Struthio camelus: one gene and its partner. The protein of the gene in region 1 purifies or fractionates together with the protein of each later gene. This does not show direct contact. Links are inferred from orthologs where the notes say so. Each region holds a gene or a part of one and is shown on either strand. Other genes may lie near its edges. The genes, in order: RAB5A and RABGGTA.

The links.
Region 2: the proteins of RAB5A (region 1) and RABGGTA purify together in Homo sapiens (affinity purification with mass spectrometry; 3 studies listed by BioGRID and IntAct, counting the BioPlex papers as one, with this or other methods). This does not show direct contact. The link is inferred for Struthio camelus from reciprocal best matches to the Homo sapiens genes RAB5A and RABGGTA.

Annotation. Positions count from the first base shown.
Region 1 is NC_090943.1:42,638,130-42,642,038, reverse strand, and holds the start of RAB5A (ras-related protein Rab-5A), read right to left. Parts: upstream 2,460-3,909; 5' UTR 2,203-2,459; intron 2,101-2,202; exon of another isoform or gene 1,817-2,100; intron 944-1,816; exon of another isoform or gene 786-943; intron 455-785; 5' UTR 382-454; intron 1-381. UniProt on the Homo sapiens protein: The small GTPases Rab are key regulators of intracellular membrane trafficking, from the formation of transport vesicles to their fusion with membranes.
Region 2 is NC_090970.1:679,138-683,046, forward strand, and holds the start of RABGGTA (geranylgeranyl transferase type-2 subunit alpha), read right to left. Parts: upstream 2,813-3,909; 5' UTR 2,735-2,812; intron 2,707-2,734; exon of another isoform or gene 2,609-2,706; intron 2,507-2,608; 5' UTR 2,481-2,506; coding exon 2,478-2,480; intron 1,668-2,477; coding exon 1,557-1,667; intron 399-1,556; coding exon 274-398; intron 1-273. Other genes in the region: NOP9 (nucleolar protein 9), read left to right, coding at 3,120-3,285. UniProt on the Homo sapiens protein: Catalyzes the transfer of a geranylgeranyl moiety from geranylgeranyl diphosphate to both cysteines of Rab proteins with the C-terminal sequence -XXCC, -XCXC and -CCXX, such as RAB1A, RAB3A, RAB5A and RAB7A.

The DNA of each region.
Region 1 (3,909 bases):
TTTTTTTTTTTTTACCATGAACATACTTGTTTAATATTGTAATAATTTCTACAAACTTTGTCATACTTTGTGACCAGAAACAGAAATAAAAAATTCAGATCAATTAAAAAAACCCAAAACCCAAAAAACACCCCACCAGACTCTAAATAGCTTCTCAATTCAGGGATGAAGCATTTTAGACACAAATACGCTTTCAAGTTTCAGATTACTGGAAAATTGTAACTCATAAATGACTGCCTCTGGCTGACCGTATTTGAAATTCAGTGTTGATAGTGTCGAAAACAGTCATACAACACTGAAGTTATAGCCACTACCTACTTCAAGTTTATTTATACTGAATGATCCTGAACAATTTAAATAGGAATATCTAAATAAACTTACGTGGTAGGCACTCCTAACTGGCCAATTTTTTGTTATTCCCTTCTCAGGTTGACCAAATTAGTGTGGCATTGTCCTGTAGTATTCAAGATAGTGACAGGTACAACTATCAGAACATTTGTCATATGCAAGTCAGTTTATATTGAAACATAATGAGACAGTATGTTAAGCACATGAATCAACAGTACAGGAAATTCACAGCCTTCCAATTAAAGATAATAGCTATCTCGTAAGTTCATATGAATGATGTATATTATGCACTGCTTTGAGATAAACTAGTTTATCATATCAGAAAGACAGGTAATGATGACTGTATAATTACTGTCTCTAACCACCTCATTTCAGTTAACATTCATGTTGTCTTGACATTTCGTTCCATAAGGTAAAAATATGCACGAGTAAATTACCCTTACTGCAACTCTAGGAACTCACTGCCAAATGGGGGGTGGGGAATCAAGTATGTTATGCTTTTTACTTGCTCCGAGTGTTACTTGGACCGAGCTGATTAATTTCAGTGTTACTGTTCAGTCTCTCTTTTCCATTCCCAGGCTGAGAAAAGGTAAAGCTAAAAAAGGTACAAAGGTAAAAGGTTTAAAAAAAAGAGAGAAGGAAAAAAAAAGGAAAATGCTGAGGGACTAATTTTGTCTGTCATAGACCTATTGTTTTGAACACCATTTTGATAATTTTTGGTTACCCTACTCTCCTCTAAAGGATAAGAGAGCATTGATTTGTCTCTTCACCATACTATAGCTTTATTCCTCGTCCCAACCAAGTCTTATGTAGAACCATATATAAACTAGGCCTGTATTGGGGGAGGGGGGTAAGGAGCAGGGGTCCTGCCATCCCTGATCCAAGATTCCCTGAATGGCGATGTGTGGCCAGTGTATTTTCCTTCCCACCTTCTTCAGCGTCCCTTTCCAGGTCACAGGCAAAAGAAAGGAACCCGTCACCCATCCACCCCTTTCCTTTCGCTCAGGTAACTCGAAAGATACACCCCTTCCCCTGCAGGAGGGCCAGGCAGCGGTAACTCACCGCAGCAGAGGCCGCAGGCAGGGAGGATCCCCACTCCCCCCCTTCTCAACGGGATCCCCAGCCCAGCTCCTCCAATGCCCGCCGCCGCCTTCCCTCCCCCGCCGCTTCCTTCCAGCCGCAGGCAGGGGAATAAGGGGAAGTGGGAGAACCGGGAGCGCCATTTTGAGACGGGAAAAGCCAGACCGGCCTCCCCCCTCCGCCCGCCGGGCTGCCCACCGCGGCAGCCCACGCCGCGGCCCAACGCTCCCGCACCGCCCGGAGGCGGCGCGCACGCAGGCGGCCGCCGGCAGCTGCGGCGGAGGAAGCAGAGGGCTAGGAGCGACGGCCCGTACCCCGGGGGCCGCGCCGGCCCCGCCGCCCCGCCAGCGGGCCCCCCGCCCCGCGAGCCCCGCCGCCGCCTCCTCACCTGGCCGGGCCGCGGCGGCCGCGCGCGGGAGGGGGAAGGGAGGGGAGCCGGGCGGCGGCGGCGTCTCTCTCTGTCTCTCCGGCAGGGCGGGAGGACGAGCCAGGCCCGGGGAGGGAAGGGGAGGCTCGGGGGCTCGGGGCGGGGGCGCTGCCGTGCCTCGCCCGCGCCGCCGCCAGCTTCCGCCGCCTCCTCGGCCCGGACCAAAACACACACGCACTTCCGCCGCGGCCGCCGCCGCGGCCACGTCACGGCCCGCACGCGGCATGCGCTTCCGGTTCGCCCGCGCGTCACGTGGCCGCTCCCGCCCTCCCCTGCGTTTCGTTTCCTCCCGCCGCCCCTTTCGTTTTCCGTCCCGTTCTCCCCCCGCCCCGCGTCTGGGCCGTTACCGGGGCAACGCCGCGGGGCTGCGACCGCCCGCGCGGGGCCCCCCGCCACGGCCGCCGCGTGCCAGCCCGCGCGGGGGCCCACGGGAGAGGCGCGAGGAGGGCTCCCCTCTGCCCCGCCAACGGCCGGTGCCTCGGCAGCGACGCGGCGGTTGTGGCGCTTTCTCCACCCCACCGGCCTCGCTGAGGGCGGCCCCGGCGCCTGCCCGAGCGGGGCCGTGGTGGCGGCCGCCGCGAGCAGCGACACCCAGGCGCCGTGTCGTCCTCGTCCTCCCGGAGGTGGAGCCCAGGGAGGTGATCGCCCCCTCCTCCCCCCTTGCTGCGCTCAAATAAGGCGTCGTTTTCCCCAAGTAAATACGTTTGTGTTTAGTGGTCGGGCAAGGCGTGAGGGAGCCGTTAGTGGCTGAACGAAGAGGGCTTGTCAGGCGTGGCGGAAGTTGGGCCCTCGATTTGCAGGGAATGGCTTACGTCCTGCTCTTGTAAGTCTGAGGGAAAGAGTCTCTTGAGAACAGCTAGGCTTCCTGAATGCCTCTCTGCGAGAAACAGCAAGCACAGTGCAGCATGATGTGGCCACTGAGGTGCCAGGGCTGTGAACTGGATTCCCTGCAAACTCCCAGTTGGGTGCTTTAAAAGGACCAAAGCCCTAAGCCAAATGAGTTGAGGGAAGGAAGTACATAGAAAAAATCCCGAATACAATTGGACAGCTGCTTAACATTTTTCTTTAATAAATGAAGTTTATGGGATGAAGTTTTGGGATACGATCAATACTGGGAGAGTGCTAAAACTGAAGAGAATAGGTTACCAATGGAGAAGTGTCTTTATTGCTGGATAGGTAGATGCAAATAGTACGTCTCAATACATGCAAATATTGGATCATACATCTCATGCTGGAGATGGCAGTACATGTATGACTTTTGTTCTGTATTGCTGGTGTATTGTGAGAAGCGTGCTGTAATCCTGCCTGCCTTTTTGATCTCTGTAACTGAGGAAGGATGTTGAAAAGTGAGAGAGAATTCAGAAAAGGCTTATATGAATGATAAGAAGAATGGAAAACTTCCCTCACTGTGAAAGATAAAAAGAGCCCAATCTACTGATCCCATGAAAGAGAAGAGTAAGGGACACTTGGTCACAGATTATAAACAGGTTCCATAGGAAATGAAACAGGTATAATAAGTGTTTCCCTAATCTTGCAGGTTTAATAAGGTGTAACGGTTGGCATTTAGAGCAAGCCAAAGCAGAACTGGAAAGAAGTTTAGTAACTTTATCAGTTATGGTATTTAATCATTGGTACAATTTAATAAAGATTGTTTAGACTCTCAATCACAGAAAATGTTAAATCAGGATTGTATGTTGCTGTCCTCTCAAAATATGCTTTTGTTCAACCACATATTAAGTTGGAGCAAAAATTAAATTAGGAAAAGCCTATGGCCCGGGTTATATTGGAGCTAAAGGCCCATTATGGTAGTGGTTCATTATCACCTTAAAATATAGAACTTTAATGTTAGTTGTCCAGTTAGTCTTTCTGTCCGTGCAGGATTCTTCTGCTGTTGTTGCTGCTACTTTAGAAGTATGCTGAAAACAGAAAGCTTAAATTAATCATGTCGCAGCCTTTTATTATCTCTGCTCTTTAGTGCTGCCTTAAAAACACCTAACTGCTTGTAAAATACTGTGGCTGATGGGACTGTAGTCTGAGAAGGAAATAAACAAATC
Region 2 (3,909 bases), on another chromosome or scaffold:
CGGGGTACAGGGGGGTGTACGGGGTACAGGGGGGTGTCTATAGGGTACAGGGGGGTGTCTATGGCGTACAGGGGGGTGTCTATAGGGGACAGGGGGGTGTGTACGGGGGACAGGGGGGTGTACGGGGTACAGGGGGGTGTCTATAGGGTACAGGGGGGTGTCTATAGGGGACAGGGGGGTGTGTACGGGGGACAGGGGGGTGTATGGGGTACAGGGGGGTGTCTATAGGGTACGGGGGGTGTCTATGGTGTGTGGGTGTGGGGGGGTACGCACCAGCCGGGGGGGGGCCGGGCCAGGGCCTCGCGCCGCACGTTCCAGAGGGTGCCCACGTCCGGGTTGGCGGCCAGCACGGCCGCCGTCAGCGCCAGCGCCTCGCCGTCCAGCCGCCCCCGCCGCCGCTGCGGGGGCACCGGGGGGCACCGGGGTCAGGGGGCGCCCGGGGGGAGCGAGGGGTCGGGGGGGCGCGGGGGGAGGGCCAAGGCACAGGGGTCGCGGGGAGGGGCAAGGGGTCGCGGGGAGGGTCAAGGGTCGCGGGGAGGGTCATGAAGGGTCGAGGGTCATGAAGGGTCAAGGGGTCATGGGGAGGGTCACGAAGGGTCAAGGGGTCGCGGGGAGGGTCAGGGGTCACGGGGAGGGTCAAGGGGTCGCGGGGAGGGTCGCGAAGGGTCAAGGGGTCACAGGAAGGGTCATGAAGGGTCGAGGGTCATGAAGGGTCAAGGGGTCATGGGGAGGGTCAAGGGTCACAGGGAGGGTCGCGAAGGGTCAAGGGGTCGCGGGGAGGGTCAAGGGGTCACGGGGAGGGTCATGAAGGGTCAAGGGGTCGCGGGGAGGGTCAAGGGGTCATGGGGAGGGTCAAGGGGTCACGGGGAGGGTCATGAAGGGTCAAGGGGTCGTGGGGAGGGTCAAGGGGTCACGGGGAGGGTCAAGGGGTCACGGGGAGGGTCATGAAGGGTCAAGGGGTCACGGGGAGGGTCAAGGGTCACAGGGAGGGTCATGAAGGGTCAAGGGGTCGTGGGGAGGGTCAAGGGTCACAGGGAGGGTCGTGAAGGGTCAAGGGGTCGTGGGGAGGGTCAAGGGGTCGCGGGGAGGGTCACGAAAGGTCAAGGGTCACGGGGAGGGTCAAGGGTCACGGGGAGGGTCATGAAGGGTCAAGGGGTCGCGGGGAGGGTCAAGGGTCACGGGGAGGGTCATGAAGGGTCAAGGGGTCACGGGGAGGGTCAAGGGGTCGCGGGGAGGGTCATGAAGGGTCAAGGGGTCACAGGGAGGGTCAAGGGTCACAGGGAGGGTCATGAAGGGTCAAGGGGTCGCAGGGAGGGTCAAGGGTCGCGGGGAGGGTCATGCAGGGTCAAGGGGTCGTGGGGAGGGTCAAGGGGTCACGGGGAGGGTCACGAAGGGTCAAGGGTCACAGGGAGGGTCAAGGGTCACAGGGAGGGTCATGAAGGGTCAAGGGGTCGTGGGGAGGGTCAAGGGTCATGGGGAGGGTCACGAAAGGTCAAGGGTCACGGGGAGGGCGAAGGGTCAAGGGGTCGCGAAGGGTCGCGGGGTCGCGGGGTCACCTTCTCCAAGATGGCGGCCATGGCGGTGCGGTAGAGGCGGAGCTTCTCCTCGCGCTCGCGGCGGCGGGCGGCGGCCTGCGCCTCCGAGGGGCGGAGCTTGAGGCGGCCGTGCTGCAAGGCAGCGTGGGATACTGGGGGCGCTGGGGGGCGCTGGGGCATCATGGGATACTGGGGGGAACTGGGGGATACTGGGGGGCACTGGGGCATCATGGGATACTGGGGGGAACTGGGCGATACTGGGGGGCACTGGGGGGAACTGGGGGATAGTGGGGGATACTGGGGGGCACTAGGGCATCATGGGATACTGGGGGGCACTGGGCGATACTGGGGGGCACTGGGGCATCATGGGATACTGGGGGGAACTGGGGGATACTGGGGGGCACTGGGGGGAACTGGGGGGCACTGGGCGATACTGGGGGGCACTGGGGCATCATGGGATACTGGGGGGCACTGGGCGATACTGGGGGGCACTGGGGCATCATGGGATACTGGGGGGAACTGGGGGATACTGGGGGGCACTGGGGGGAACTGGGGGGCACTGGGCGATACTGGGGGGCACTGGGGCATCATGGGATACTGGGGGGAACTGGGGGATACTGGGGGGCACTGGGGGGAACTGGGGGATACTGGGGGGCACTGGGAGATACTGGGGGGCACTGGGGCATCATGGGATACTGGGGGGCACTGGGCGATACTGGGGGGCACTGGGGGATACTGGGGGATAGTGGGGGATACTGGGGGGCACTAGGGCATCATGGGATTCTGGGGGGGGCCGAAGGGCCCCAGGGCATTGTGGGATGCCGGGGGTCTGCAGCGGAGCCCCAGAGCATCACGGGACAGTGTGGGGGGGGTCACGGCGGGGGGGGGGGAGGGGGGAACTAGCGCCCGCCGCGGGGGACGGTGGGATCGGGGAGGTCTCACCATGGCGGCTCGCCGGGGGGGTCCAGCACCTGCGGGGGACAGAGAGTGAGCGGGGCCCAGGCGTCCGGCTCGGGCAGGAGGGGCCCAGGCGTCCGGGTTTTGGGGGGGGGGGGGGAGAGCCAAGCCGAGACCATAGAGACGGGGGTCCTCCCGCCGGCACAGAGCGGCCCTGCTTAAGGCCTCCCCCCCCTTCCCACTTCCGCCTTAAAGGAGAAACGGGGATAAATAATGAACGAAGGGAAATAACGGCGCTTTACCGGAGCCGGACACCTGGGTCCCTGGCGGGGCGGGGCGGCGCGGGGGATGATGGGATAGAGGCGGGGCCTAGCGGAGGGGGGCGGGGACGGCGCGCGGCACGCCGGGATACACCGAGGCGGCTCTACGGAAGCCGCCAGCGGCCGCCAAGCCCTATTTCCGCCTCCTCCGCGCGGGGCACGCCGGGATACATACCCCCCTACAGTTCCCTGCGCTGCGGCGCGCGGGGCACGCCGGGATACACCGAGGCGGCTCTACGGAAGCCGCCAGCGGCCGCCAAGCCCTGTTCCCGCCTCCTCCGCGCGGGGCACGCCGGGATATAACCCCCTCCCGGGCCGCGGCGCGCGGGGCGTGTCGGGATACAGCGTGGCGCCTCCACACGCCGCCATGGGTGTGCGGCGCCGCGGAGGCTCCGCGCCGGCACCGGGACCGGTTCCCGGGGCTGAACCGGCACCGACACCGGTACCGGCACCGAGGCTGGACCCCGGCACCGCCGCTTATTTCCGCCGGGCCCTGGAGACGCTGCAGGAGGGGCTGAGCCCGGAGGAGCTGGGTGAGGGGCGGTGGGGAGGGCGGGGGGGGAGGTGAGGGGTTTTGGGGGGGGTTTCTGACAGGATTTGTGGGCTTTTTGAGGGAAATTGGGGTTTTTCTGAGAGGATTTGGGGGTTGCGAAGACCCCTGGGGGGGATTTGGTGGGTTTTCTGACAGGATTTGTAATTTTTTGAGGGGATTTGGGGGTTGCGAAGACCCCTGGGGGGATTTGGCAGGTTTTCTGACAGGATTTGTGATTTTTTGAGGGGATTTGGGGGTTGTGAAGACCCCTGGGGGAGGGATTTGGTGGGTTTTCTGACAGGATTTGTGATTTTTTGAGGGGATTTGGGGGTTGTGAAGACCCCTGGGGGGGGATTTGGCGGGTTTTCTGACAGGATTTGTGATTTTTTTGAGGGAGTTTATGGGTTTTCTGAGAGGATTTGGGGGTTGTGAAGACCCATGGTGGGTTTGGTGGGGTTTTCTGACAGGATTTGTGTGTTTTCTGAGAGGACTTGGGGGTTGTGAAGACCCCTGGGGGGGATTTGGCGGGTTTTCTGACAGGATTTGTAATTTTTTGAGGGGATTTGGGGGTTGCGAAGACCCCTGGGGGGATTTGGTGGGTTTTCTGACAGGATTTGTGATTTTT